Alligator mississippiensis: one gene and its partners. The protein of the gene in region 1 interacts with the protein of each later gene in a biochemical or structural test. Links are inferred from orthologs where the notes say so. Each region holds a gene or a part of one and is shown in the gene's direction. Other genes may lie near its edges.

Region 1 (7,261 bases):
TTCTGGACCATGGGGGCTCCTTCTAGGCCAGATCCAGCCCAGGGCATGGGGTAGTGACTACAGCCATGGCAGCTGCTTGCGTGGGGGCAGAGATATAACAAGGCAGCTGGTGCCCAGTGCCCTGTCAGGGTATGAGAATAAAAGCATTTTCCTACTTCACAGGTGGATGTGAGAACAGGTACATTAAGGATAGTGAGGTATTCTGATGCTATGAGAATGGGGCCTAGGCAAGTGTAATAGCCTGCAATACATGCATTAGACAAAAATCTCCAGACTGATCATGGGGTGCTAGGCAATGTTAGTAGTGATTTGAAATAGGAATCCATAGGATTAAAACTGTTCTGCCCTGCTGTGGGCTTTCTGAGTTCTGTGCAACAGAAGAATTGCTCTAGTGTTTTTCTGTCATCAGAAAACAAGTGGAAGTTCAGCGCTGGCATTTCTGAGGGGTGCCTCGAGTCTAGCAAAGGGTGCCTTAAGTTTAACAAGGCTGAGACTTAATTAACAGTAGACACTAAACATGCAACTGAAAGCCCCATACGTATGTATTTGGCTGATCTTTCCTACGTGGATCCTCAGCCTGAGTATTTCTAGACTACCCCTTTGCTTTCTCCCTCCTTCCCCGCCCCCTTGCCCTTGTACTCCCAGCTCTGGCTCCAGAGCCTCTGGCAGCAGGGAGGGAAAGAGGAACAGTGGCAGCAGAGCAGCTGGAGGTTTGGTGGTGCTGAGGGGAAATATCACCCCTTTTTATTTTATTTTTTTTTGCCACAGACTTGCATTTAGTGGCCAAAGAAACCCCCCACAGTTTCTGGCAGAAAAAATGCAATGACATCACCCTATAACAAGAACTACATTTCCCAGATTGCCCTTGTGCTGCTGCTGCTGCTGCTGCATCTTCCCCTGCCAGAGCTGGAGACAAGGGGAAGGGAAGAGAGGGAGGTTGCAGCTCCTGCCCACACTTCTGGCAGTGCCCACCCAGCTCCTGCAGGAGAGACAAGAAATTGGCATCTCTGGGCTCTCCTTGCTGAGACTGACTGCAGAGTACCAAAAAAGAAAAGTCCCCATTTTAAAATGTGAACAGTTATTGGGCTGTGGCTTGTAATATGGAGTGGAACGAGGCGGTGTTAGCAATCTGCTGACATTGCCAGCATGCTGACTCCTAGGGAAAGAGGACCCCTCCCAGTCATTTTAGTCTTGGTGAATGTGCAGTGTGCTGTTTTCTGGAAAAGTGGCCTCCATCTACCCTTGCTCCATCTCTGTATTGGAAGGAGGAACATGTTCTAAGCTACGTATATTTGAGGGATCAGGGCCCTGCTAATTTCAGCCCTATTTCTGTTGCAAGAGCAGCTCTGCTTTCCCCAGCCTTATAGTTAATGCAGCACAATGCACTCTCGACACATTCCTGATGCTTCATGTCCGCTGCAGGGTTAGCTTGGAGCTTGTATGCCCGCTGTGTGATCACTAGGGAGGTTCCTGTACACGCGACGTCCTGAGGGTCTTGTTCTGCCCTCTGTTGCTAGGGTGGCACAAAATGGCCTTAAATGAGGATTAGGCCCCGTGTGTTCGAACTGCAACTCTTCCAGTGCTCAGTATTAATAACATTGACAGAAAGCCAAGAACTATTCCTATCCTCAGAGGCAGCAAGTATCACTTACTCCCTCCCCCTTTTGCAAACAAGAAACAAGGACACTTGCAGCAGTGATAAATGCTCCGTTAAGGTCCCCTTGCATATCCCTTCAAAGACTAGTGTTGAAACCCCAGAGACACAGTCATAAGCATTAGAAAACCAGGAAGTGCACAGCTCCGGTAATATTTCCCAAACAACTTGGTGTCTATAGACATGCCACACACAAGATGCATGGTAGCCCTGGCTGCAGTGATGCTGGAAGAACAGGGTGGCACTTTGCATCATGCCAGAAGTGTCAGGCCCAAAACTCGGGGGATTATTTTGGAGAAGTAGGGTATTTTGTTGAATGGGGGCAGACTTCAAATTTCCTGACTCTATTGTGTGCAAAGTACTACTTCAAACATTGACTTCCTGTTTTCGTAGAGTTGTGGTGAGGGCTCTTCAACCTCAATATTGTGCGTGGGATGAGGGAGCATCGCTGGTTTTGAAGTCTCAGTTCAGGGTTTTGAAATCTCATGTTCTGCAACAGTGCAGGGATCTGGAGGAACTACTGAGCAGCATAAACTCCACTTCAGTAGAACACTTTGTGACCAGAGCATTGCAGCTCCAAAAAATCTATAAAAAACAGGAGCAGAAAAACATGGTCGGAAAGGCCCGTAGGAGGTCATGTAGTCCAGCTCCCCGTTCAAGGCGCTGTCACCTTGTTGTGAGCCGTCCCAAATGTTTGTCCGATTTGTCCTTAAAATCTTCCAGTGCTGGCAATTCCCCACACTCTGAGCAATGTGTTTCAGTATTCAACCCCTGTCATAGGTAGGGGAAGTTCTTTGTAAAATCTAACCTTACTGCCCCTTGTTGCCTTTTTAGCTTATTACTACTTCTGTCCCCCTGCCCGTGAACACAGACAGCAATTGACTGCCATCCTCTATAACAATCCTTTCTATATTTGAAGGCTATTATCAGATGCCCTCTCTGTCTTATCTTTTCCAAAGTAAATAATCCCAATTCTTCCAGTCTTTTTTCAAATGTCATATTTGCTAGACCTCTAATCATTTTATTGGTTTTCCATAGTCTCTGTCCAGTTTGTTCAATTAGTTCTTGAAGGGCGGGCAGCGCCCCAAACTGGAGAAAGTACTACAGGTGAGGCCTTCTCAGCACTGAATAGGGTGGAAGAAGTATTTCCTGTGACTTGAGTCTCACAATTGTATTAATGCATCTCAAATGCTGCTAGCTTTTTGTGCGACGATATTGCAGCGTTGAGTCACTCACTTGTCATCTCCTATAGCTTCCAGGTCCTTTTCACAATACTGCAGACTAACCAGTAATTCCTCATTTCATATTCGTGAATTTGACTGTTTTTTATTAAGTGTAGCACTTTGTGTATGTAAGGGTATTGGCCTTGTAACAGGTTTGTCTGAAAATAACTATGTTGTTCAGAGAAAACTGACAGTGGGCAGTCGGGTTAGGAGCAGGGCTCCGGGCTGTTGCCCACTGGGATTGATTCTCAGTTAATATCCATCTCCTTTAGTTTATTTATTAATAAATGTAACCTGTTCCTGAAAGCTGACTATGGTTCCTCAATTCATAGATTCATAGATGTTAGGGCCGGAAGGGATCTCAATAGACCACGAGTCCGACCCCCGGCATAGTGACCCTGCAGAGCGCTGGGTTCAGATGACCCCAGCCAGATGCCTATCCAACCTCCTCTTGAAGACCCGCAGGTAGGGGAGAGCACCACCTCCCTTGGGAGCCCGTTCCAGACCTTGGCCACTCTCACTGTGAAGAAGTTCTTCCTAACTGAAGCACAAACAACACCTTTTGCCCTTGACCTTACTGAATTTCATCCTGTTTATTTCAGATCATTCCCCCCAATTTATCAGGGGATCCTAGTCCTTTCTTCTAAAGCAGTGGTTCTCAACCTTTTTTTAGTGTAGTATGAAGGCACCCCCCAAAATATTTTGGAGTGGAGTGACACGGTGGTTGAGAACCGCTCAGCCTAGAACCTAGCTCCGTGGCGCGTAGGTTTTTAAAATGCGTGCTGGTCCGTGGGCAGCGTTTATGGAGACGGCCTTGAGGCTAGAAGGGTTGAGCACCGCTGATGTAGCGGGCGGGGGCGACGCCTGAGCTCGCCGTGCCCTGCCCTTCCCATCGTGCGCCCCCTCCTTGCACCGGGGCCAGGGGAGCTCCCGGCCCCAGGAGCTGAACGGGGCAGCCCCGTGGCCCACCTCCCCGCTTGGCCGGTGCAGCGGGGAGTCGCGGCACGCCCGTGGTAGGACCTCGCGGCCCCGAGTCACTGGTGGAGGGGCTCGTGCTGGACCACCCTGCGCTCCAGGATTGGGCCCGCCGGGCCTCGACTGGTCCCTGCGCACCGGGACTGGGGCCTGAGCCCCTGCAGGCCGGGCCCGGGTTCGGAGTGGGGCTGGGGCCAGACACGGCCTAAGGTGGCCATCCCCGAGGACCGTTGGGCTGTCCTCTAGTAACAGAGAACCGGACAACTTGGTGTGTGGGGGACAAGAGCAGGGCACAAGGGGTCGGGTTTTGCACCGCGGGAGGACGAGCAACCCGGCCGGCCTCTGGCGGGGTGGGGACGCGCTTGCCCCACACGTGTCCGCGCACGACACACGACAGCGCCCAAGCCCCGCCCTGCCCCGCGCCGTGCGCGCTGACGTCAGGCCCCTGCTCGGAGGCGAGGAGACCCCGCAGAGCTGCCAACGCCCGGCGCGGACGAGGTGGGTGAGTGCGGCGGGGCCGGGCCGGGGCCGGGGCCGGGGGGCCTGTCCGCCCGCGGGGGCCGGGGCCGGGCCGATCCTCCGCCGCGGGGCGCTGCTGGGGCGGCGGCCGCTGCCTCTGCCTCCCCGGCGCCACTTCCTGCTGCAGCCGCAGACATCTTGCGGGGGGCCCGGCCCGGCCCGGGCGCGCTCCCCGAGCCCCGCGCTGACACGTCCTCACGGCCACCCCCGCCTCCTCTGTAACCCCCCCCGCCCCGCCCCGCCCGACCACACGTTGCCGTTTGCCGGCAGCCCGCGCTCCCCTCCCCGCCCGGCTGCCACCCGCAGCCTGCCCGGTCCCTCGGCGCGGCGCGGCGCGGGCTCCCCTCCCCTCCCCTCCCCTCCCCGCCCCTCCCCGCGCTGCCGGGGCGCGAGCGCAGAGCCGAGCCGAGCCGTGTTGTCGGGCACGTGCCCGCGTCCGCCGTCTGCGCTCGTCGCTCCGATCCCGACAAGATGGTGGGAGCCGTCTTGCTGTGCTAGAGATGCCGCCGGGGAGGGGGGCAGCCCCGGCCCCAACCCCATCCTCCCCGCCAGGGCGTTGTCCGCCCGGGGCTCGCGCACCTGCGAGGATGGAGGGTGAGTCCCACACCTCTGTGGGCGGCCTGGCCCAGCGCGTCCCTGCCTTGTCAGTCCTGGCATGAAAGCGGGCTGGCAGACGCATCGCGGGCAGCCGTGCGGTCCCGAGAGGTTCAGCGCTGCAGTTTGTGATCGAGTCCCGTAGTCCGCGGCTTGTCCGTAGACGCGGCGCGCTTCGAGCAGAACGAGATGCGCCGTCCGTCTCGCTGCCTGACACGACCCGCGGCGCCCGGACTTGAAACGGGGCGCGGGAGTTGGGTCAGCGTCTCGCGTGTTTGCAGAATGACTTGGGATAGCGATCCTTTATTTGCCTCTTGTCATCAGTACAAGACCAAAGGGAAACGATCAAGTATTTTTGCAGTAATAACATTTCAGTCTGGGGACTCGGCAGCTGGAATGGATGGCGCCCGTAAAGTTCCCCATTATCTGTCCTGTAAAGGGGCAGCATGTTCTGAAAGGAAAATCGGCAGACGAATCAATTTTTTGTGAAAATGATCATGTTTGGGTAAGACTGTTTTTACTAAGGAGCGTAGAGCTGGTTCTGTCTGTCCAAACCAGTCACTTAGTATTTCCAGTATTACCCTTATATAAAGATCACCGTACGTCTCCATAAAGCAGGGGCGGGCGGGCAATTATTTTGGGCAGAGAGCCGCTTACTGAGTTTCGGCAAGCCATCGAGAGCTGCTTGACAGGCAGCCCAGGGCAGATTAATATTCATTTTCTAAATGTTTAGGGGCCCCGCGGGCCAGATAAAAGGGCCTGGCGGGCAGCATCCGGCCCCCAGGCCACATTTTGCCCACCCCTGCCATAAGGAATAATTGAACAAAATGGTTGTACCAAAGAGTGGGTAGCTTTATGTCAAAATTTCACCAGGTAAAACCGATATACATATATGTAGTGTCTTTGTATGTGGCTGCTCACGCTTAGGCTGATAATCTTGAGACTAGGTGCATGGTTGGTAAACTGAAAAAAAAAAAAAAAAAGGATGCTATAAAATGATTACTTATTCCAGGAAATTAAATTAGGTTTTCATTGCTAATACAGGTTTCCTGCAGTCTTTCCAACATTTCTGAAGTAAACAATCTAAATTAGGGCTCTAAACATGAAATAGTTTTGATTTCCTGAGCACTGAAATAATTTGCACTGAATATGACTAGCAGGCTACTTTAAAATTCTCGCTGTGCAAAATTGAAGGCATAGGAGTGGAAGGAGTTCTGGCTGAGAGAAGGAGGTTGGAGATGACTGAGGAGATAATGCACATGCAATTAATGAATGTAAGAAGTTGGTTACTTGGGGGAGGGGGTTTATTGATGTTATCTCTGTTACAAGAGCAATGGTAAATTGAAAGGCAGTGGATTTTAGAGCTAAGAGGAAACTCCTTCCCCTCTCTAATGTGAACATGTAAGTGCAGATTTTCATTTCTGAGTATCTTGCTGCTTCCTGTCAGATGTCTAACACTAGGTCAGTCTTTGACAGTTACAGTAGTAAATAGATCGCTGGTCTAATTCAGCATGGAAGCTCCTTTGTGTCTATTAGAAAGTCCTTTCTAGTACCAAAACTGCCCTGCCCACCCCAGCTCCTGGCCCTCTGAAAAAAACCCAAACCCCCCACCCTGCACTCACTGGCTGCTACAGTGGCCTTGGGGCTTCTGGGGGCTTGTGGCAGAGCCCCCCACGCAGCACGGGTGAGTGCAGGCGTTTTTGTTTTCTCTTCAAAGAGCCAGAGCTGGGGCAGGCAAGGCAGCCGTTGAGAGCAGGCAGGGGATGGGATGCCTGTGTGATTCAGCACCAGCCAAACCTCTGAATCAGATTCGGCAGAATCGATTTGGGACAGCGATTCGAATCACCAAATTGTATCGCTGTCCCCCGAATTGGCCCTATCCGGAGCGAATACAAGCCACTTCGCACAGGTCTATTAGTTTTACAGTCTGGCAAAACTATCATTAGTTTCATAGGGTTAAAATTTGGTACAGAATTCTAGGTGACCTGGGTATTTATGGTTCTCCACTACTTGGCTAGAGTGGTGTGTGGATAAATGCCCGACATTTAATGATGGGCTGGGAGAAGTAAACACTAGTTTCAAGTAGTAGAGAGTCTGAGGGTTTTGGTTAAACATCCTGTAGTTTATTGAATTGTTGAATGAAAGAAACAAATCCAAACCTACCTGTGTTCCTCAAATGAAGCATTAAACTGGTGAATATAAGCCTTAGGGATGTTAGCAGCACTGGTAGTATTTCATGTTGGGTTTGGACTTCTGCTTTTCTGACTCTTACTAATTCCTTCTTTTAATTGAAGTA
Region 2 (7,050 bases), on another chromosome or scaffold:
CAAAATTGCTTGGCCAAAATCTCTCACGCTCTCCTCCACTGGTCAATAGAGGGTTGTGAGAAAGGAATATAAAAATCAGGGGAAGGATCAACCATGAACAACGTGAAGCAGAAAGAGTTTGCTCCTGCCCTCACTGCCCCTAAAAGATTGGGTACCAATATCCCAATCATTTTTCCCCGGGCTGCTCATATGTTTAAGAGGATTAAAGTTTCTACAATAGCAAAAAATGCCCTCTGATTAGCTGAATATTTTCAGAGGAGTTAGGTATGATCATGTATGATGTGTGTTTAAGTGGGAGTAAAGATCAGCTTACAGACAATTTGAAACAAAAGAGGGCCAAAAACCACATACAGATCAATCAACAAATATATTTATCAGCTTTAACAGTGAAGTAGATTTGTTTCCAATTAAAAGGGGTGAAGGCTAAGAATAATGTTTATGATTTATCATTTGGGTTATGGTAGCACTTAAACCAGAGATTGTAATTCTCAACCAGCGCTGGGGTGCTTTGAGATTCTTTCAGGGGTGCTGCAGTGCCACGCAATGTTAGAACCATTAGGTGTGCAAATATGATTCATGAGATAAACCGGGATATCAAATAGGAACCCATAGTGTTAAAAACATTCTGAATTTTTAAGTAACTATGGTGGGGCTTTTGTTTATTATTTGTGTTTAATACATTATAAGGCAAGGTTGACAGAATAGAAGAAAGGAAGTGATTAGTGAAAATGAACAACAGGCAGCAAAAGGAAGAGTGGAGGTAGGAATGGGAGGTGTCAGAGAACAGAAGAGAAGGGCATGAAGGGCAGCTAGAACCAGGCTGAGGAGACTGTGCGGGAGGGGGAAGTTGAAGCCAGCAGCCAATCGGTAAAGGGCAGAAAACGTTCACTGCAGAAAACAGCTTGGTGGCATCAGTGTCTAAAGGCCCCTGGATCCCTGGGGAAGTTGCTTCTGCAGCTGTTCCTGCTGGCTTGTGTGTATGCTTGGTTACACACAAACCTGTCTTTCTTTTCTGAAGTCCACATGCAGAAGGTGAAAGTTAAAGGGATTTATGTACTTACATCTCTTAGGCCCTTTTGAAAGTTTCTCTCTGGAAATGGTTGAAAACTTTTTTACGGGTTCCTATGATGGAAGCAAGTTTGCTTAGAGGTTTTCCAGTGCGGTATTTTATACTGTTAGCCATGCTGAGTGGTCCTCTATTCATTCTGTACAGTGGTGTGCCTTATAGTAAAACTGAAGGAGAAAAGCAAAAGCTACAAAAGATAATGCTAACATAAAAAAGCGATATTCAACCTCATCCTCCAGTGTTTAAGAAAGTCTGTAACTAGTAGGGATTAGGAGACATAATGTCATGAGTCAAATTATCTCATGTCTGCCTATTGCAAGGGCACCTGCATCTTCCTCAGAAGCATCTGGTGTCAGCCATGCTCAGCGATAGGATACTGAATTAGATGCATCATTGGTCAGATCCTGAATAACAATTCCTATATACATATCCTGAATAACAGTTCCTATATACATAAGAAGCTGATTTGGCAGTAGCATACAGCAAAATTGGACAGGCTGTTAACAACGGGCTAAATCCTGGAATGCCAGAAGCCTTATGTAAATAAGAAAGGTAGATTTTGTTTGAAAATATATTAGTTAACACAGTTTTAACACAACTTTGCACCTTGCGGTGGATGCTTTAACACTGAAAAATATTAATCCTAGTTTACTCTCCTCACATCTAGTCTAGTCTAGGCAAGGCTTTCAACACAGGGATAATTTTCCTCATACAAGTAGATTAATTGGGGGAAAAAAGGCACACATAATTTTTGGCAGGTTAATGTTCAAAATATTTCTAAGTATTTATGTCAGGCTCTCAGCTGCTACCAGAAACCATCATTGTGGAAAGTCACAGAAAATAAACCAGTGAAACATATGGCAGACTGCAGACATGATGACTGGAAGTGAACACAGGAAGAAAAGCCAGCACTTTAGCCACCATACATAGTGTTAGTAATTGGCTTCATTGCTCATATAAATTGTAAGCAAATGAGAAAAATGTGCAAATGGGATCAGTTGGGCCAGGAATGTGCTGCCAATGTTCCTAGAAGGCGATCCCATAAAAATAATCCCTTTCAGCTTTCCATTGAGCTGTATTTTCTGTGATGAGCTTGCTTGCAGAAAGGACATAAAAAGGCTGATGAATCCATTCACGTTTTCTCCTTTTTAAAGAAAAACACTCTAACTATAACCAAAAAAATGATGAATTAAAATGAATCTAATATAATATGGTCATTCAGTGCCCCCTGTTCAGCTTGTGTAATTTGAAATAGATGTGTAGCTTTGTAGGGGAATTCAGGAGGTATCTTCACCCTGGGATTTTTAAAATCAACTGCAGTTTAGTATGTTCCTAAGAGGGAAAACATTTTTTCTTCAGGAATATTTTCATGTAACCCAGGGATGTCATCACTGTCAGGGATGACTTGGTAGTATGTGGAGTGTGTCAAGTTTATCAAAGTGGAGAAGCCATCACAAGTCTCTTTTGGTTTGACGAGAGCATTTTAATATGAAGCTCCCAAAGGCTTCCAGCAGCCCTATACAGCACATCTTTACTTGCTGTGGCCAAATTTTGCTTTTTCAGGCTACTGCAGTTTTCTGGGGGATGTCCTTCATTTCTGCTATTTCTTTTCCTTCTAGGGTCTGTCTGGCTTTATGGACAATGCTAGTGGCTCTCAAACGCAGCCGTCCTAAAGCACTCGCGCTAGACCAGTGGTTCTCAACCTTCTTAGGCGCATGGCACCCATAGATGGACTCAAGGAAACTCCTTAGAAAATGCAGACTATTAGCTTTTGCTCCTGGTTTGAATACAGAAAAATAATGAAGCGATTTTTTGTTTTGTTTTGTTAATTTTTTTAGTTTGTTTTGTTGCATAGAACTCAGCCCATAACAGGGCAGAATGGCTTCAGCACTATTTGAAATCTCTGGGTTTATCTTAGAGTCTTTGCACACCTAACTGTGCTAACATAGCCTGTCAGACCAGGGCACCCTTGAAAGACTCTCGAGGCCTTCCTGGGGTTGAGAATCGCTGTCCCAGACATGCCAAACACATGACGCTGCCCCAGACATACATGACATGCCTCTGCATTGGTTTGTCGAGCGAGCTCGCAGACTGCTACCAAGTGGCACTAACCAACCCTCCACCAGAGGGCACATAGCGCAAATCTGTCTGTTCTTTTAGATCTGCGCTACAGGTTTCTCTTACTTTATGTGGGTTCTGTATGGGTGAATTCGCTCTTATGCAATTACCCTTTTTATACCAAAAAGTCATTATATACGACATAAATTCACTCTTATGCGATTGGTGTGGTGGAAACCCGCAGTCAGCTACTTTGTGCGGTGCATTGTGGGAGTGATGCGCACCAAAATATAGTCTCCTGTGTGGATCTGTGCTCCTTGCGGGTTGTCTGCGACATGTGTTTCTGTAGTTGCCATCCCCATTATGATAGTGCCCTGTGCTGGTGTGTACTGTCTGCTGTTGGAGAGTAGACATTGTCCTGTAGAAATGGGTCTGGGGGTCAGTACAATCAAGGTCTTGGAAGTATCCCTATTTGTTACATTGTAAAGTGGGTTCCCTTTATGCGACTCAGAGTTATGCGCAGTTTTTCCAGGAACGCACGTACAGCATAAAGCGAGGGAAACCCGTACTCGACACAGGGCAAACTCAAGGCGGAGCAAATCTAGTCCAGAAAGACTGCCGCGGAATTTACCTGGCTGCATATTGAATTCAAGGGACTCCTGGGTTGCTGAGGGGTGAGGAGAGGGTTTGGCTGACACAAGGCAGGGGAGATGGACGCCTTCATAGACTAACTTGAGTAAAGGTATCCCTCGAGGAAGAGGGAGCACAACTCCAAGTCACCTGAGCAGACGCTGACCCCGCCCTTCGGGGGACAAGAGGCCGTGTAGGCCTCAGCGGAGACTTCATCTGGGCCCCCAGCGGGGCTGCAGGGGGAGGGGATTTAAATGCTCTGCCAGATGGTGCCTGCCCGAGACTCCCGTGTGCGTGTGTGAGAGAGAGATCCTGCCCGCTCTTTGTTCGCGTGCCGCCCAGAGACGTGCGAAGGTCACGCGTGTGACACGCGCGGCGCGGCCCTACCCGGCCCGCAGGCTCCCCACGCCCGGGCCGCGGACGCTAGGGGGCCGCAGCCGCCAGCGGCGTCACGTGGGGGCCGGGCCGAGCACAGCGGGAGCTCCCGGCGCTGCCGCGCGGGGCGTCGCCCGCTACATCGGCGCGGGGAAGGGCAGGGACAGGGACGGGGGACGGCGAAGGCGGCTCCTGCAGCCCGCGTCGCTCCTATGTGAAGGGCGCGGGGCGGCCGCAGCCATGAGCTCGGCCGAGCAGACCGTAACGTGGCTCATCACCCTGGGCGTGCTGGAGTCGCCCAAGAAGAGCATCGCGGACCCCGAGGGCTTTCTGCAGGCGTCGCTCAAGGACGGCGTGGTGCTGTGCCGCCTGCTCGACCGCCTGCTGCCCGGCACCATCGACCGGGTGAGTCCCTGCGCGGCACCGCTCCCCTTTGTGCCGCGGCGCCATTGGCGGCCCGGACCCGGGCCCGGGCGGGAGGGAGCCGGCGGCCCCGCCTGGCTGCGGGGGCTTCCCGGGCGCGGGAAGGGGCTTTCCCCGCGGGCCGCGGCCCAGCCCCTCCTTGCAAGGTGGCTTGTGTTGTGGGGGGAAGGGCAGCTGCGGGGCCCGGGCATCCCTCACCTGGCCCCGGGGCCACATGATGCTGCCCCTGTAAGCATTGGCTTGTGTGGGGAGCGTGTTTTGTTTTATTTAGGCCTCCTATTTTGTACCTTTTCCTCCCCCCTGTAAGCATTAGAGGCATGTTTTAAAATGCTACCCAGAGCTCCTGCACTGGGCGGTTGTCAGCCTCCTCATAGAAGACGAGGGCTGCAAGGGACCTCAGGAGGGCATCTATGGCAGCCTCCTGCTCAAAGCAGAGCCATCCCCGACTAGATCATCCCAGCCAAGGTTTTGTTTAGCCAGGGGCTTAATATTGTTGTTTCCGCCTTTTTATATTTTTCTCTATTCCTCAAAAAAAAACTCTGCCCCCCCCCCATGGCAAACATAGGTTACAATTTGGAGTTTGTGTGAAAGGCATGAAATAAACTCACTTATGATACAGTCATGCCTCTTGCCATACAGCAATTCCTCTTGTGTTCCCAATTCAGGGGGTTTTGAAACCTTATACCACACCCCAACATACAATATAGTCTTTCGTATGATCGGACAGGTAGCCCAAGTATTCCAGTTCTGGCTTTTCTCCTGAATAGTAGAGGGATTGGTATTTGTCTGAAGGTGAAATTAGAGGCAGGTGATTTTTTTTTTTTTTTTTCCCCGTACAGAGCAGAAATAGAACCTTTGACCTACCTATTGGCACCTGCGCCAGCTCTTTGCTATTGAACTTTACCAGATAATGAGCAAAAGAATGAAGGAGATCAATTGTTGGTATTTTAAAAACCTATGTTTGCAAAATACATTCACATAATTGAGGAAGAATTGCCTTGTAATTGAGGTATTGGACTGCGGTTAAGGGAATGCTGTTCTTGGCACTACTGTGCAACACTAGTTTGTATGTAGAGACCCTTGTGGTACTAGGTTCCTGACAAACAGGTAACCAAAAAGGTCACCCCAGCACCAAAGAATTTACAATGTAATGATAAGACAAAAGGCAACATACACTTAAGTGGAGAAAAAGGAGTTTATGGGCAGTGCGATAAGCAACAACGGTTGTGACCTGTTACCTGCCTTTGTGAACATAAACAAGTCAGTCTCTCTGTGCCTCAGTCTCCCCCTCTGTGAAACACAAGTGATAATTTTTCTTCTTCTCTTGCCTGTGTAGGATTCAGTCTTGCAAAGATTCAAACATATTCTTAATTTACACAGTGCAAAAAATCCAAAATTGAGGGTCAGTCTACATTACAGAGCTACTGCCACTGCTGGTGCATCTTTGTTGTCAGAGGCTGGAGATGCAGTGTATGCAGACAGAGGCTCATGTAGTTATACCGTCTCCAACAACAGAAACTTAATTGTGGCAAATACCTTCTTTTTGTCAGTGAAGTTGCATGTAGACTGGGGGCTTTGCCACCATATTTAACTTCTCAAGGGTATTTGCTATCTTTTCATACCCCTAGTTATCGTATCTATGTCAGCAAAACTTTGTAGTGCAGACCAGACCTCAGTCCTAGCTGCATCAGAGCCAGAGAGTCTAGCTCTTTGGAACAGGGACTGTGCCTTACTGTGCACATAGATAGAAGCGTAGAATGAAGCCCTGCACATAATTGGGGATGTTAGGTGCTACTCTAATGCAAATAATAATAATAATAATAAAGAAAGCTTAATGGAAAAGATGATAGGAACAGTATCTCATTATTTTATTTTATAAATATAGTATGACAAGATAATAGTTTTATAAATAAATATATAGACCAGCTACTAGAGTAACTGGTACCACCAAAAATATAGCCCACTTTAGTTAAGGTGAAATTTATGACGGTTTGGCCCTGTGTTAGGTTTGTGCAGTGGGACACTATTGGAGCAGCCACAAAGGCGGCCCTCCATGTTCCCTACGTATTGTTCAGGCAGCTCTGAATAGGTCTTTATTGAGGTCATTGGATCCACGTTTTGATAGATGCAGTGGCTGGGAACCAACGGACTTCTCAGCAATTTGCAAACCGTTATTATGGTTCTTTGGCTAGAATAGTGGCTGTAGAGAGTCTGCGGCTTGCTCAAGTTGGGGTTGTGTCAGTTCTAGCTGCCTAACTTGGTTTGCCTGAGTCATCCCTCTACCACAGAGTGAGTTAATAGTCTTTGTGGTAAAAAGGCTGCTTTGCCTTCTCGCCCCCCATATAGCACTTGTCGACTTGCCAATCTACAGACATAGCTGACAGACTTGTAAAACTACTTCCTATCAAACTTTGGAAAGATTCTGTTTAGAAACATTCTGCATGTATATTACTACTTGGCAACAATAGTAGTTTGGGGTGAGCAAGAAAAATGGAATC
Region 3 (7,948 bases), on another chromosome or scaffold:
GCCCTCTGTCCATCACTGACAGCCCCACACGCCACCCACCGCTCTGCTCCTCCCTCCCTCTACCCCTCCTTTCATCGCTCCATCTCCCACCCTCCCTCCCTGCACCCCCCACACCCCCCAGTTCCCGGGCAGGGATCCGCCCTGGAGCGGACACACGGTCCGGAAATTCCAGCCCCGGGGGGTCTCCCTCCCTTCCCTCCTGCGGACCCCACTCTCGGGGGGGGGGGCGGGGGGAGGTTGGGGGCTTCCCCCTGCCCAGCTCCCACTCATAATCCCAATTTTAAAAATGTGGAGCATTGTCCCCTTAAAAGTACATTGTGGGGGGAGTTTGGGTAGGGCGGGGGCGGGGCTTCGTGATAGGTCACGCCCCCTTAACCCTTCCCCGTCCAGGGGTGCGAACCAAGGGGCAGGCGGCTTCGGCGGGGACTGTCCCGATTACGGCGCGGCTGGAGGTGGGAGCCGGGGCCGGGGAGGGGAGGGGAAGGGAAGGGAAGGGAAGGGAGAAGCCCCCAGGGATGGAGAAGGGGAGCCTGAACGTGTGGTGTGTGAGCGCGGGGTGAGTACAGGGGTACGTGTAGTCCCTGGGGTGCAGTGTTTGCTGGGGGCGCAGGGCAGGGGCTCTGGGTCCAAGGGGTTGCAGAGCGAGGTGTGTGTGTGTGTGTGTGTGTGTGTCTGTCTGTCTGTCTGTCTGTCTATGTCTCTGTCTGTCTGTCCGGGACTGGGTGTGTGTGCGCGCCCAGGATTGGGGGGGGGGGCAGTGTTAGAGTGGGTGTCCAAGGCTGGGTGTGTGTCTGTGCGTGTCCAGGCTTGGGGATTGGATGTTGGGGGAGGGAGACAGGAGTGTGCCCAGGGATGGAGAGGGTGTGTCCAGCAGTGTGTGGGGGTTGTTTAGGGGTGTGTATGTGTGTGTTCAGGAGTGCTTGGGTGTTGTCCAGGGGTGTGTGGGGGGTGGTGTCCAGGGAGGGTGGGTATTGTCCAGGGGTTTGCATATGTATGTGCCCAGGGGTGTGTGTGGGGGAGTGTCCAGCAGTGGGGAGGTGTGAGTGTAAATCCAAGGGTGTGTGTTTGTTGGGGGGGGTACATAGGGGGCTGTGTGTAAGGGGCTGCAGTGTATATGTAGGCATGTGTGCATAGGGATATGTATGCGGTATGTTTGCTGGGGTTGTAGGGTGTGTGTGGAATAGGGGGCAGGGGGACTGCAGGCTGTGCGTGTCCAGGGCAGTGAGGGACAACCATTTTGGTGGGCATCTCATAAATTAGCCCCGCACCCTCCCCAAGAACCACTCTCATTCCCTTCTCCTGCCTGATCCACTGTTCTGCTTTCTGCTCACTGCCCTGTGCCCCCTGCCTGCTCTGCTGCTCTGCTTTCCGTTCCCTGCCTTATTTGCTGCTGTGCTGCCTACTCCCTCCCTGATCTCCCATGAGCCACACACTGAGGCTGCCTGTGCCACTAGTGGCACCTGTGCTGTAGGTGGACCCCTCTGGCGTGGGGCTGGGTGCATGGAGTCAATGTGAGCATGGAGAGGTGTGGGTATGGGCCCCTGGGTCTGTGTGTGAATGCAAGGGTGCGAGTGCGCCTGTGTGTGGAGGTGTGTGTAATTGAGTGTTCATGTATATTCTATGTGTGTGTGTATTGGGTGTGGAGTGTGTGTATACTGAGTGTGTATTCAGGGTGGGGGATGGTGTGTGTGCATTCAGGGTGTGTCAAGGTGTTTCTGTTCAGGTCCATCTCCACTCCAGCCTTAGCCGCCTCTCCCTCACCCACCCACCCGGTTAGGGGCCAAGTCTCACTTGCGGCCACACCCCAAGTCACGTGTCCCCGGGCGTGTTCTAAGCATGTTGTAAGCGTGTTTGTTTCGCCTGAGCAGGCCTTGGTGCTTGGTGCATGTGGGCTCCTGCCCTTAGCCTCACTAGTGACTGTCTTGGATGGCACTGCTCTATTTCTGGGCCACTTTGTCATTGGATTCCCTGATTGGCTGCTTAATTTGTGCCCTGCTCTGCTATGTGTTCCCCGGCTCCCTGCCTCCCGGAGCTGGTGGGGGAGGCTGTGTTTGTCCCCTTGCTCTCTTGAGGTTTTGGATTTGCAAGGTGAACAGATTGGCTGGGTAACTTGCTTCCTTCTGGAACAAATTGCCGCCTTCTTTGCTTGTGGGCACCTTTGTTGCTGTTTTCATGCTTTTGCTGTTCTCCTGGGTCTGATCTTTTATTATGGTTACAGTGAAGACCGGGGGGCTCAGCCTCCAGCCCACAGCTCAGATCTGGTCCACAGAGCCATGGCATCTGGCCCGCGGGGATCCTCACGGTTCGGGAAATTTGGCAGCAGGGGAGTGGTGGTAGATCTGCATGGCTGGATCAAATCCTACCTGGGCATGGGCGGGGCCAATTCCCCCGGCCCATTGCCTTGCATCTTTGGATCAGGACTGAGCTATGACCCCCTGCACCCCCTAGACATCAGGATTGCAGCCAAGCTGCTCCCCAGCCCCCCCCCCCCCCCCCCATTGGGGCTGCACCATCCCTACCCCTGCCCCTCCTGCACGTCTAGATCAGGCTCCTGCCACACTGGCCTCATGTGCTTAATCAGGCCCATCAACCGGATCTGGCTTGTGGATGGACCTGGCACTGCCATGAGGCCTGTGGGGTGAAAAGTTTGGGCCCAGCAGTGTAGAATGATTCACTTATATTCTAGTAACACCAAGAGACCCCCGATGGAGAATGGGCTTTGCTGGCCACTGCCCAGACACCAGCTGAGATGAATTCGCTGCCATGAGCAGGCGTCGCCCAGACAGGCTGAGATCAGGACCCTTTTCACACCAGGGGCCATCCAGACCCTTCAGACTGACATCTGGTATCCATTGTGTTGAGTGGTGCCCAGATAGCAATTAAGATCAGGATGCAGGTGCTGCCCAGGGTCCTGAGTTCAGGGACCCCTGTCATACCAGGGACTGTACATGAAAAATACCCAAGAGCCCCTGCTCCAAAATCTAGAAGGAAAGGTTCTCTCTCCCCTTCTTAATCTCCCCTTTATGCTGCCAACACATACTCACCCCAGTTACTCACATGTGCAGACTCTGCATGTGTCCCTGAGGCTGAATTCAGTAAAGCCAGACCAGACGCCTCCCATCCATCCGTCCATCCATCTCTCACTTATACCTACCTACCCATCCATCCATCCATCCATCCATCCATCCATCCCTTCTATCTATCTATCTACCTATCCATCCATTTGCCATCCACCCATCCATCCCTTGTACCTACTTATCCATCCACCCACTTATCCATCCCTTCTTATACCTACCTATCTATCCCTCTACACTCCCCACCCTCCACGCCACCAGTGTACCTCACTGAGATATATATTAGATCTCTCTTTATAGCTGTATTCCATAACCAGAGATTTGTGGGTGCATGGCTGATGCCCTGGGTAGAGTGTTGCCCAGGCCTTGCCCTTCCTCCCTCACACCCTCACCCTTACTCCATTCTGGTCTAGTTGAGGTGCTTTGGTCTGAGGTCATGACAGAGACTGGGGCTGCATGACCAGATCTTGGAGACTGGAGAGAGTGTGTGTGTGTGTGTGTGTGTGTGTGTGTGTGTGTGTGTGTGTGTATGATGGACCTTTCATGCTGCGTCTCCTCCTGGCTGGCATCTCTTGCCAGAAGTGCCTGCCTGGGAGTAAATTAGCACATGTATGTGGGTAAGCACTGCCCTGTGAGACTGGCAGAGTGGGGAGATTGGCAGGGTAAGTCCCAGCCCTTTGTTTCCTACCTTCTCGTCCTTGGGTTTTTTGTCAGTGTCTGCATGTAAGTTCCTGAGATTTTTGAGGGCAGGGATTGTTGGATGAGCCATTTGGGTGTTTTCTGCCTGGCCCTCCTGTGCTTTTGGGTATTCCTATAGCTGAGAATTGGTCCCATTCAGCTCAGGCCTGGAGGACTAATTTAATCTCTGGCTAAAAATCTGCTTGGAGGCCCAATTCCCTGGGTTTTGAAGGGTGTCCTTCCCTTAGACGCCAGAGCAAGAAGAGAGAAATATTTCAGATTCTCCAGCCATCCCCATTTCTGCCCTTCTACCTACCTACCCACCCATCCATGTGTCTGTCTGTACATCCACCCTGTCTACCTCTCTACCCATCCATCCATCCATCCATCCATCCATCCATCCATCCATCCATCCATCCATCCTATTTACCTGTCCGTCTGTTCATCCATTCATCAATTCCCTCTGTTTATGACCCATCCATTCCTCCATCCATTCCTCCACCTCCAATGCACCCCTCTGATATATGTATTACATCCGTTTTAACTGTATTCCATAACCCAGGCTCCTTATCAGATCACTAAGAGGTGAATGCTTTTAAACAAACTATATCTATTCCCTCCCTCCATTACTATAGTAGGGTTGGAGTGCTGGTGCAGCCATCATGGTCCAGGAAAGGTAGGAGAGGGCATTTGGTGCCTGAAAGCTTGTCCAACAGCTCTCTGGGCTATGCAGGTGGTCCAATAAAAGATACCACAAAAAATCCTCCCCTCCATCTGTGTACACATCCATCTTGCCAGCCCCCTCATATACACCCCACCTTTCTCCATCCAGACTATAAATACTCCTCTGTCCTCCACACTCTGCATCTGTCCCCATACATACCCATCCATGCACCCATCAGTCCATCCATCTATCCATTCCCCCACCTCTCTTTCCACCCGTTCTTCTATCTATCCTTCCACCTACCCCTCCACCTCTCCATCCACCCATCTCTCCACCCACCCATTCCATCCTTCTGTCCATCCCTCTTATCTTCTAACCCATCTTACTCACCCAAACCCAACTCCAGGCTTGCCCCTAATTTAATTCAAACGCCACCCACACACACACACATGCATATTTCTTTTCCCTCTGAACCTCCCCGTTTCCAGCCTGCCTCTGTGTTACTGCTGACTCTGCCCTGCCAGGGCCGGAAGCTCAGGAATGCAGTGAACTTTAGAAGTTGGGCTGTGCAATGGCTTTTTTTTCCCCACTTTAGCACAATATTTGCTTTGGCTTCCAGAGGCCGGGAGACCGTGAACTGGGCTACCCATCAAGCCACTGAGGCATTGAGTTCCTCTATGGAGGGGCTCTTCCAAGTGGCGCATCTTGATCTGGCATCTCATGACTCCCATGTCTCTGATGAATGCAGGTAAATAAGAGTCCTGGAGCTCACGCCCCAGAGGGAGGGGAGAGAGTGCAGCTCCACGGAGGAGGAAAAAGAAAAGAGGGGGAAGGAAGAAATACATGAGAAGAGGAGGAGAGTGGCCAGGGGTCCTGCATCGACTCGGGCGCTTCTGGGAGAAGAGGATGGCTGGATGAAGACGGGCTGAACGGGGCGTGCTGTTGGATTTGGGACAAGTGTTGGCTTCTGTGGGCTCCCTGGGCTCAGTCGGCATCGGGCGCCTCGCTGGATTACAAAACAGGAAGAGGGAGATTTTGGCTGGATCCCAGTAACTCGGATTTCTCCTGACGTCGGATTGAGTTAGGGTGAGTGGAACCGAGGTGGCTCCAGGCTCGGATGGAGGGATTTGGGGGTGGGGGGAGGAAACGGGGTTCTCTGGAGGGAAAGTGTGCGTGGGGGGGGGCCCCTGGCATGGATGGGGAAAGGGAAATGCAGGGGCTGGACGTCTGGGTTCTGCCCCTGGATCTGGGAGGTGAGTGAGGCAGGGCTGGGAGTCCAGAGTCTTAGGTCCTTGCTGTGGATCTGGGAGGGGTTTAGGGTGGGGTGGGTTTGGGAGCCCGGATGCCTGGGTTCTCTCCCAGCTCTTGGAGGGAGTGAGGCCTGGTGGTTGAGCTTTGCTTCTCTGTTTCTTGCAGGACCCCATGGCCCCCTCACCTGGGTGGGAAATACCTATTGTTTCCTCCCTCCCTTCTCCCTCCTCAGGGTTGTATCAGCTCCTGAACACCCAACCTTTTCCTCACTCACCCAGCTCCATGGAGACAGAGTTCCTGTCTCTCTTGCTGGGCCAGGGAGAAAACCCAGGCGTCCTGGCACCAGCCCCTTGCTCTAACCCCACAGACGCCTCTCCCCTCCCAGTGTGTGTGGGGGGAGCTGATTGGCCCCCTACTCTCCTGGGTTGTTTGCTCCGGGCCTTCCCTGGCTTTTCCCCTTCCCCAGCAGCATACGGCTCCCACTCCCTTCACCCACCCCCTGCAGGGGGAACTGGTGGGGTGGAGGGGCTGTGAAGTTGTGCCACAGTCACTGCAGATCCCACCCGCTAGAGCCAGGATACAACCCAGGTGTCCAGGCTCCCAGGCCCCACGCCCCTTCCAGAGCTGAAGACAGAACCCAGGCGTCATGCCTCTTCCCCAAGGCCTGGTACCCAGAGATCTCCCTTCCCTTGACACAGTTCCACCTGCCTCCCTGGGAAGATGAACCCCGTCCGCCTTCTCCCTGGGAAGGGGAGGGGGTGGAGATGGGGCTTGCTTCCACAAGGCCTGGCAGGCAGGAACCCAGGAGCCCAGGCTCCTGCTATCCCCTGCTCTGCTCCGGGAGGGGATTAGAGCAGGGGGCCTGGCAGCTGGGACACCTGGGTTCTTTCCTTGGCCCTGGGAGGAGAGTGAGGTCTGGTGGGTCTGAGCTCAGGGGCTGGGAGCCAGGACACCTGGGCTCTGTGCCAGTTCCAGGGGAGGGAGCTGGGCCCTGCACTTGCCAGTGCCTTCAGCAAGCTCTTCCCTGTGTAGTGCAGGGCCAGGGCTTCCTCTTCCTCCTCAGCTCCTTCATCCCAGCCCACTGGGCTCTTTCTCTTGCCATCTTGGTTTCTTTGGCCCTGACTCTTGCTCCTGCTACTCCTGCATTTATCTAATCCCCTGCCAGCCCCAACCCTTACTGCTTCTTCCTCACACCATTTCTTTGGCCGACGCCAGTGGGTCCATCCCCTTCCCTAGGCCCGTCTCCCCTTGGTCTGGATCATGTTTCCCTGGGACCAGCCCTCTCAGCCATCTCTATCACTGTGGAGAGCCCCAGACCCCAGCTTGGCACTGAGGCATTTTGGCCTTGTCTGCTCCTTGCTGCACTGAGGCTGTGGAGAGGCCATGGCTCATCCAGCCTCTGACTAAGGCTGGGCTCTTGGCTTGCCCATCCAAAGCTTGATGCTCTCAATGGCCAAGGGAGAAAACCCCCCGGCCCTGATCTGTGCCAGCAATGTCCTCCACATTGTGTCCTTCTTGGACCTGCCACCCACTTCCTTTGCCAACCCAGTCACTTTGCCCATGTCGTTGCTTCCCGCTGGCTCCCCTTTCCCTGTCTTGGGGTTCTTCCCTTTAGGCCCATCTCAGCTTGGGAGCCCGGACACCTGGGTTCTGTCTCGGCTCTGGGAGGTGCATGGGGTCCGGGGCGTAGCAGTGGGGATGGGAGCCCGGGTGCCTGGGTTCTGGCCCAAGCCAACCTGGCAGGGCTGATGGCAGAGGGGTGCCTCTATCCCAGGCCTTGGAGATCTGCGCAGGGAGGGGGCTTGGATGCCCGAGTGTGGCTGCGGGGGGTGGGGAGGTGATTTCCTGTCCCAGGGAAGTGAAGTCAGTTTCCTCTGGCAGACCCGCCCCTCCCCCATCCACCAGCTGGCAGCCTTGGCTGGGGGCCTGCGGATGTGGGGTGTCCTGGGTGGGTGGGAGGGGTGGGCTCAGGGGGCCTCAAGGGAACAGGATGGGGCTGGCACAGCGGGGTCACAAGTCAGAGGAATAGGCTTGGGGGGTAGGTCTGGGGCATTCCGGTGGAGGCTTTTGATGAGAGTTTGGGGAGATGATGGGGGTCTAGATGCCTCTCTCTTCTCTGGGTTCCACCTCAAGGTCCTAGCCCTGAGCTACCCTGGGGGCTGGGATCCCCTGTCCCACAGCTGGATCCAAGTGATGGAGGGGAGGGGATCACCTCCCTCTGTGGGCAGGCGGGTGGGGGGGCAGGGGATGCACTCCTAATCCACCCCACATGGTTCTCCCC
Region 4 (7,221 bases), on another chromosome or scaffold:
CCAGGTCATAGCCCACAGGGTGGAGGCTCTGGGGGAATTCCTGGCTGCCCTACATCTAACCCACATCTGCCCTCCTGCCCACCCCCCAGCATCAGCCTGATTGAGCCAGGGCCGGTGGCCACGGAGTTTGAGCGGAAGTTGTATGAGGAGGCGGCCACCCTGGATTTGTCCGGCCTGGACCCTGAGACGCGGGAGCTCTTCCAGGGCTTCTACTTGCCCTACTCTCGGGAGGTTTTTGCCGCCCTGGCCCAGTCGCCGGCAGAGGTGGCCGAGGTAGGAAATCCCCTTGCCCACAAATCCTCCATTTTCTGGGGTGCTGGCTGCCAACCCAGACTGGGCATGACTCAGCACCCTCCACCCTAAAAGATGGGGGGGGGGGGGTGGACGGGTATGTCTCTGCTGTGACCCCTCCAAGCCATGGGGGGAGAGGGCAGGACCATCACCCAGGTCTCCCCAAGCAGGATAGGCCCTAAATCTACACCTCAGGGTGCCCGGAGCTGGGGTTTCTTGCAGCAGCTTTCTGGAACATGTCCTGCTGTAAGATTTTTTTTTCTGGGGGGCATGTCCAGGGCCCTTGTTAGTATCACTTGGATGCTGCCCCCCTCCCCAGTGTTTTGGGGGTTCAAGGGCAGACTTGGGGGGGGGGGGGGGGTCCAGGGTCCTTGTTATGTTCAGACCTGCTGACCTGCTTCCCCTGATTTTGGGAGTTCAGGGGGTGGGTCCGGCTGTGGGTGCCTGGCTGTGGGGGGTGGAGAGAGTTTCACTGACTTCCCCCCCCTCCCCCAGCACTTTGGGGGTTCAGGGTCTGGCAGGAGGCGGGGTCTGGCCATTGGGGGTATCGGGGACTCTGGTCAATCTGAGATCCACTGACTTTGCTCCTCCCTCAGCACTTTGGGGGTTCAGGGTGGGGGGGCATGTCTGCAGCCCTAGTTGGTTTCAGACCCAGTCCCCCCCACCCCCCTAGCATGTTGAGGATTTAGGACCTGGCCAGGGGGGAGCTCTGTGTGTCCTCAGCCCTAGTCAGTCTGGGATCCTGCCCCAACACAATGCTTTGCGGGGGTCAAGGTTGGGGGTGGGGTGGGAACTGGATCCAGACTTGGGGGTATGTCTGCAGCTCTGGTCAGTTTCAGACCCACTGGATCCCCGCCCCCCGCCCACCCCCCAGGGTTCAGGGTCTGGCTGGAGCATAGGTCTGTCTCAGGCCTGGTCAGTCTCTACCCCTCTCCCTTGGCCTTTTGGGGGTTCAAGATCCAGCCATAGGCTTCAGATCCAGACCCCACCCCCACCATGGCACTTCAGGGGTTCAGGATCCAGCCGTGGAAGCGTCTATCCAGGGTCTTGCTCAGTCTCAGACCCACTGACTCCACTCCCCCCCCCCCCTGTACTTTGGAGGTTCAGGATCTGGCCTGGGGAGGGCGGGGCATGCTCAGGGTTAGAGCAGCCTCAGACCCACTGATCCCTTTCCCCAGCACTTGGGGAAGATCTGTGTTCCCGGAGCCCCAGTCGGTTTCAGGCCCTGGTCCCTCCTCCTTCCCCTCTCCAGCACACGGCTCGGGTGATCACGTCAGAGTCGCCGCCGTTCCGGTCCCAGACCAACAGCCTGTATGCACCGCTGGCCACACTGAAGCACGCAGACACTAGCGGGCACTTGCCCCTTGCTGCCTTCCAGCGCCTCATCTTCCAGCATGACCGGCTCTTCAAGGCCAGCCTCAGCCTGCTCAAGCTGCTGCAGTGGCGCAAGCGCCGGGACATGGACCACACCAAGACCCCTTGAGCCCCAGCCTTCCCCCCCCCCCCATACAGCCACCTCCCCTCTAGCATCCTCAGGAGGGCGTGAGGTGCCGGCTTTTTTGTGGGGCGGGAATGGGGCAAGGGTGGGGAGTAGGGATCTGGGTGGGGCTGTGAATTGCCCCTGGGGGCTGACCCCACTCAGGGGAGGTTCAATTTGTACTGTGGATTAAAGCAGCAGGGAGACCTGCATGGTGAAAGGCAGAGGAGAGGCGTCCTCTTGGGCTACAGATGGTGGAACTCGGGTGTCCGGGCTCCCAGCCCCCCCCATGACACCCCAGACCGCACTCCCAGAGTTGGGTGAGAACCTAGGCATCCAGGCCCCCAGCCCATCCCTGCTCTGACTCCCCAGACCTCACCCCCCTCCCAGGGCTGAGAGAGAACCCAGGTGTCTGGTTCCTAGGCCCCTGCTCTAACCACCCCCCGCCCCAACTCCCCGGAGCCAGGGGCAGAACCCAGGCATCTACCCCCACTCCTAGAGCTGGCGAGAGAATCCCAGCTGCCCCTCACAACTTGTTCCAACCCTGGTACAGAGCAGGACCTGCTAGAAGATGCTGGTAAGAGAGCCCAGCAACTACCATATTTCTTGGCATAGCAATGCCCAACCTGTGGCCCATATGGGGGGTACCTTAGGAACATTAAGGTTATCCAGGAAGCAGGTTTGAGGAGGCATTGCTGTCCCCAGGTTCACTCCCTCCTGCCCTGGGAGGGGAAACTGAGGCACACACAGAGTGGCAAAATGACCTGACTAGACCTATGCAACAATGAGACTTGCATCCCCAGCTGGCACCTGCAGCCCTATCTCATCCTCCCTCTATGCTCTGGGAGGGGCTGGAGCTGATCTGAGGTCAACTTGAGGGAGTACCCCAGCCTCTACAACCCCCCCCCCCCCCCCCCCCAACTGGGCTGTTTGAGTTTGCAAAGCTAAGCAGGGTCTGGTTGGGTTAGAGCAGGGATGGGAGACCCAACTGAGAGTTAAGTGGCCTTGGTTGAAGTTAGCTCTTGGGGAAGGTAACTTTTATGTTTCTATGAAGCATTTTGGGGCCAGAATGCACGTTTTGGGGGGGGTGGGGGCAGAGGTCAATCTTGGAATTGAAATGCGACTGCTTCTGGGGTGGAACCACAGGGACAGGAGGCTTGGGGTCCAGATGTCTGGGTTTTTCTGTTTATACATCTTTAGTTAGTCTATAAGGTGCATCTCTCACCTGCCTTTGACCTACACAGCCAAGTACCCGCAGCTCCACCAATCCCTGCACTCAGCCCTGCCCTTCCACCAATCAGTGTGGAGCCCTGTGTGTGAGCCTGCCCCTGAAAGGTAGCCAATAGGAGCACAGTAGGGCAGGTGTCAATGGGGGCTGTAGGGGTTCATGTCAGCATGGAAGGCTGAAGCTAGACATGATTTTTCCTGTGAAACTTTGGGGCAGGAACTACATTTCCCAGCATGCTGTGTGCCATGGGCTTAGGTGGGAACTACAGCTCCCAGCATGCTCTGGGGCCCTTGGGTGCAGCCACTTCTGGGGGGAGGGGCAAGGAGGCTGCGCAGCCATTGGTGGACACAGAATCCCTGACCTAGTTAAAGTGGGGCCTGGGGCCAGGACTTGGGGTTTCTGCTCTGGGAGGGGCAGGTCTGGGCTGGGAGTGCGGGTGCCTGGGGTCTCTCTGCTTGGGGCAGCGAGGGGCTGGAGCCTGGACTCCTGGTTTTTGCTCTGTTTGCGGGAGGGGCTGGGACCTCCGCTGCCTGGGTTGTCTTCTCTGCTGCTGGGGGGAAGGGTGCTCAGACACCATTTCCATTTGGGGCAGCGGGGCAAGAGGCTGCGAGCCTGGATGCCTGGGTTTTAGTTTCCGTTGGGGGAGGCTGGGAGTCCAGATGCCTGAGTTCTGCTCCTATCGGGCCTCTCTGGCGCCAGGCGCACAAACCTCTCAGGCACACAGACCTCAGCGAAGAACATGCTGCTCTTGGCAGGGGGGAGATCTCGGCTGCCAGAGGCCTCAGGAGACCTGGAGGTGAATAATTCACTACAGCAGCGTGCAAATAGGGAGCTCTGCTGACCGTCCAGACTTGGCGCTTCTCCCTTCCACCCCCTCCCTGGAGCTGCCTTGCCAGGGCCCCTTCAGCCTGAAGGTTGAGTCATCGGCAAGGACACATCACCCTCCATCCTACGCCAAAGTCTGTGGCCAAGTGCCTTTCCCTCAGTATCTCATTCCAGCTTATTCAGCCTGGCCTGAAAAAAAACAAAAAACCAGCTGCTGCAAATCAGAATGCTCATTATACATGAGAAATATGGGAAGAACAGTTTCAGCCCCTTGGTAATACTTTTGGTGTGAGATTTCCCCTGGGTGCCCAGCTGCTGGGTATCAGAGTGCTCATTTATATGCAAGAAATATGGTAAGAGCTGTTTCGGCCACTTACTGGGCACCCTGGAAAAACTATGGAGCAGATCCTCAAGGAATCCATTTCTAAGCACTTGGAGGAGATGAAGGTGATTAGGAACAGTCAGCAGGGATTCACCAACAGCAAGTCATGCCTGACCAAACTGATTGCCTTTTGTGATGAGGTGGATGCGGGGAGACCAGTGGATGTGGTATACTTTGACTTTAGCAAGGCTTTTGATACAGTCTCTCACAACGTTCTCGCAGGCAAGCTAAGGAAGTGCGGGCTGGATGAATGGACTGTAAGGTGGATAGAAAACTGGCTCAAACATTTGGCTCAGAGGGTAGTAATCAGTGGCTCGATTTGTAGTTGGCAGCTGTTATCAAGTGGCATGCCCCAGGGGTTGGTCCTGGGGCCAATTTTGTTCGGTGTCTTCATCAACGACTTGGAAGATGGTGTAGAGTGCACTCTCAGCAAGATGGCAGATGACACCAAGCTGGGGGGAGTTGTAGATATGCTGAAGGCTAGGGCTAGGATTCAGAGTGACCTAGACAAATTGGAGGATTGAGCCAAAAGAAATCTCATGTCAACAAGGACAAGTGCAAAATCCTGCCCTGGGATGGAACAATCCCATGCACCGGGACAGGCTGGGGGCTGACTGGCCTGGCAGCAGCTCTGCAGAAAAGGACCTGGAGGTTATAGTGGACAATAATTTGAATATGAACCAACAGTGTGTCCTAGTTGCCAAGAAGGCTAACAGCATCCTGGGCTGCACTAGTAGGTGTGTTTCCAGCTGATCAAAGGAAGTGATTATTCCCCTCAATTCAGCACTGGTGAGGCCACATCTGGAGTACTGTGTTCAGTTTTGGGCCCCCAGCTACAGAAAGGATGTGGGGAAATTGGAGAGAGTCCAGTGGAGAGAAAAGAAAATGGTGAGGGGGCTGGGGGACTTATGAGGAAAGACTGAGGGAACTGGGTTTATTTAGTCTTCAGAAGAGAAGACTGAAAGGGGATTTGATAGAAGCCTTCAGCTACCTGAAGGGTGGCTCCAAAGAGGATGGAGCTGGACTCTTAGTGGTAGTGGATGACAGAACAGGGAGCAATAGTTCAAAGTTGCAGCAAGGGAAGTTTAGGTTAGATATTAATAAAAATTTTATCACTAGGGGAGGTAGTAAACCACTGGAACAGGTTACCCGGAGAGGTGGTGGAATCTTCATCCTTGGAGGTTTTCAAGACCCGGCTAGATAAAGCCCTGGCTGGGATGATCTAGTTGAGGATGTTCCTGGTCTGAGCAGGGGTTTGGACAAGGTGATCTCCTGAGGTCCCTTCCAACTCTAATTTTCTATGATCTCAGAGCCAATTTCCGTAGTGATCCCTTTGGTATGAGATTTATTGGGCAGTCTTCATTCTTCAGATCAGCCCAGAGATCAACAGGTAAATCCTGAGATCATCAGGAAAGCAGGGCTGGAAGGGGCCCCACAAGGTCTCATTTAGCTCAACCCCCTGCTCCAGGCAGGATCTCCCTTAGCTAAACTAGCCCAGACGTCAGGGTAGACATGCACCTTCTAGACTTATGAAATCAGCTTGCTTCACCAGATGCATCCTAAATCATCCAACCTGCATCCCAGTGTCCATCCAACCTGCTCTTGGACACAGCCAGGGATGGAGACTCCACCACATGTCTGGGCAGCCTGCTCCAATGCCAGACCACCATGAGTGCCTGATGCCTCTTGAGTCAGGGGGGAACATGCCCCCCTCCTCTGACACCAGTCAGTGACAGGGGTAGGAGGTGGGGGAGGGGTCCATCTCTTAGTTATGAGATTAAAACCACTCCACCCTGTTCTAGGTTTGATGAAGCCTTTGCTATAGAAGAATTTCTCTGGGATTTTTCTATAGTCAGGAAAGGATTGGAAACAAAGAGTTGGTATCTTCTGAGGTAGTCTGGGATCTAACATAGTGGTGGATAGGTTAGGGTGCAGAAAGCAGATCAGTCAATGGTAGAGGGAGCACAGGTCAGATAGCAGAAAGCAGAGCAGCCAATGGAGCAGGGAGTATAGGGAGGGAACAGAAAGCAGAGTAGCTGATGGAACAGGAAGTTCTGGGCAGGGAGCAGAAAGGAGAGCAACAGGTGGGGCAGGGAGCAGAAAGTAGAGCAACTGATGGGGCCAGGAGCCCAGGGTAGGGAGCAGAAAGGAAATTAGCCAATGGGGTAGGGAACAGGAAACAGGGCTGCTGGTTGGGCATGGGAAGGGATCAGAGTAGTGCTCAGGGAAGGGCCTGGCATTACTCTGTGGCTCCCTGCCAAAGAGGTCACCCCCCCACCAAGTTAGTCTATACAGTGCCATCCCTACCCCTGCCTGTTGCCTGACCCCAGGCTATGATACATGTTGCAGTGTCACGATTCTCCTCCAAGGGGCACTGGACCAGCACAGAAGAGCCTCTCCCAGTCAATGCAACCAGGTCATTCCTAACTGTATCCCATGCTTGGGGCAGAGGTGGGGATTAGCACCCCAAACTCTCTCTCCTTTTTGGGCTGCTGGAGCAATGGTGGGGAAGAAGTGAAGATGCCTGGCAGTGAGACAGAGGAGCTATAAATACTTGAGCAGGAAGGCGAGGACTTTGAGCTGAAGGACAAGGGGTGGCGGGAGCCAAGAATAGATTTAGGCCTGGAAATGAGGAAGGTGTTGAATCAGGGGTGGCAAACAATCTCCTTGGAAAAACAGAAGGGCAAAGAAAAAATACCCTTCTTTTAAATAGTTTATAAGCTGGAGCTGGCTCTGACCGGGATTAGCCAGCAGCCAGGACCCCAGAGCTCCCTGTTCCCAGTACGTTAAAACGAAAGCCTTTTTAAAAAGCATGAGACTGGTGTTAAGGTATCACAAGGTCTGGCCAGTGAATGCAGCTTTTGAATCTGCTGGGGGTGGGGAGGGGGTTGGATGTACCTCAGCTCATTGAGCTGGGAACTCAGTTTCTATATTTACTAGCCTACAATGTACCCAGGAATCATCTCCCATCCCCCATCAGGGTACATGTCTGAAGTGGAGAAGCTGGTATTTCTACCC

What was found.
Region 2: the proteins of CDC42 (region 1) and ARHGEF7 form a complex in vitro, tested with the Homo sapiens proteins (2 studies listed by BioGRID). The link is inferred for Alligator mississippiensis from reciprocal best matches to the Homo sapiens genes CDC42 and ARHGEF7.
Region 3: the proteins of CDC42 (region 1) and CDC42EP5 form a complex in vitro, tested with the Homo sapiens proteins (2 studies listed by BioGRID). The link is inferred for Alligator mississippiensis from reciprocal best matches to the Homo sapiens genes CDC42 and CDC42EP5.
Region 4: the proteins of CDC42 (region 1) and TRIP10 form a complex in vitro, tested with the Homo sapiens proteins (3 studies listed by BioGRID and IntAct). The link is inferred for Alligator mississippiensis from reciprocal best matches to the Homo sapiens genes CDC42 and TRIP10.

What each region holds. Positions count from the first base shown.
Region 1 is NC_081836.1:1,492,779-1,500,039, forward strand, and holds the start of CDC42 (cell division control protein 42 homolog), read left to right. Parts: upstream 1-4,250; 5' UTR 4,251-4,350; exon of another isoform or gene 4,351-4,354; intron 4,355-7,261. UniProt on the Homo sapiens protein: Plasma membrane-associated small GTPase which cycles between an active GTP-bound and an inactive GDP-bound state. In active state binds to a variety of effector proteins to regulate cellular responses. Involved in epithelial cell polarization processes.
Region 2 is NC_081824.1:353,744,528-353,751,577, reverse strand, and holds the start of ARHGEF7 (rho guanine nucleotide exchange factor 7), read left to right. Parts: upstream 1-4,046; 5' UTR 4,047-4,369; coding exon 4,370-4,534; intron 4,535-7,050. UniProt on the Homo sapiens protein: Acts as a RAC1 guanine nucleotide exchange factor (GEF) and can induce membrane ruffling. Functions in cell migration, attachment and cell spreading. Promotes targeting of RAC1 to focal adhesions. May function as a positive regulator of apoptosis.
Region 3 is NC_081828.1:39,179,507-39,187,454, reverse strand, and holds the start of CDC42EP5 (cdc42 effector protein 5), read left to right. Parts: upstream 1-4,939; 5' UTR 4,940-5,502; intron 5,503-7,948. UniProt on the Homo sapiens protein: Probably involved in the organization of the actin cytoskeleton. May act downstream of CDC42 to induce actin filament assembly leading to cell shape changes. Induces pseudopodia formation in fibroblasts. Inhibits MAPK8 independently of CDC42 binding.
Region 4 is NC_081831.1:24,055,813-24,063,033, forward strand, and holds the start of TRIP10 (cdc42-interacting protein 4), read left to right. Parts: upstream 1-4,202; 5' UTR 4,203-4,217; coding exon 4,218-4,268; intron 4,269-7,221. Other genes in the region: retinol dehydrogenase 8, read left to right, coding at 90-273, 1,544-1,774. UniProt on the Homo sapiens protein: Required for translocation of GLUT4 to the plasma membrane in response to insulin signaling. Required to coordinate membrane tubulation with reorganization of the actin cytoskeleton during endocytosis.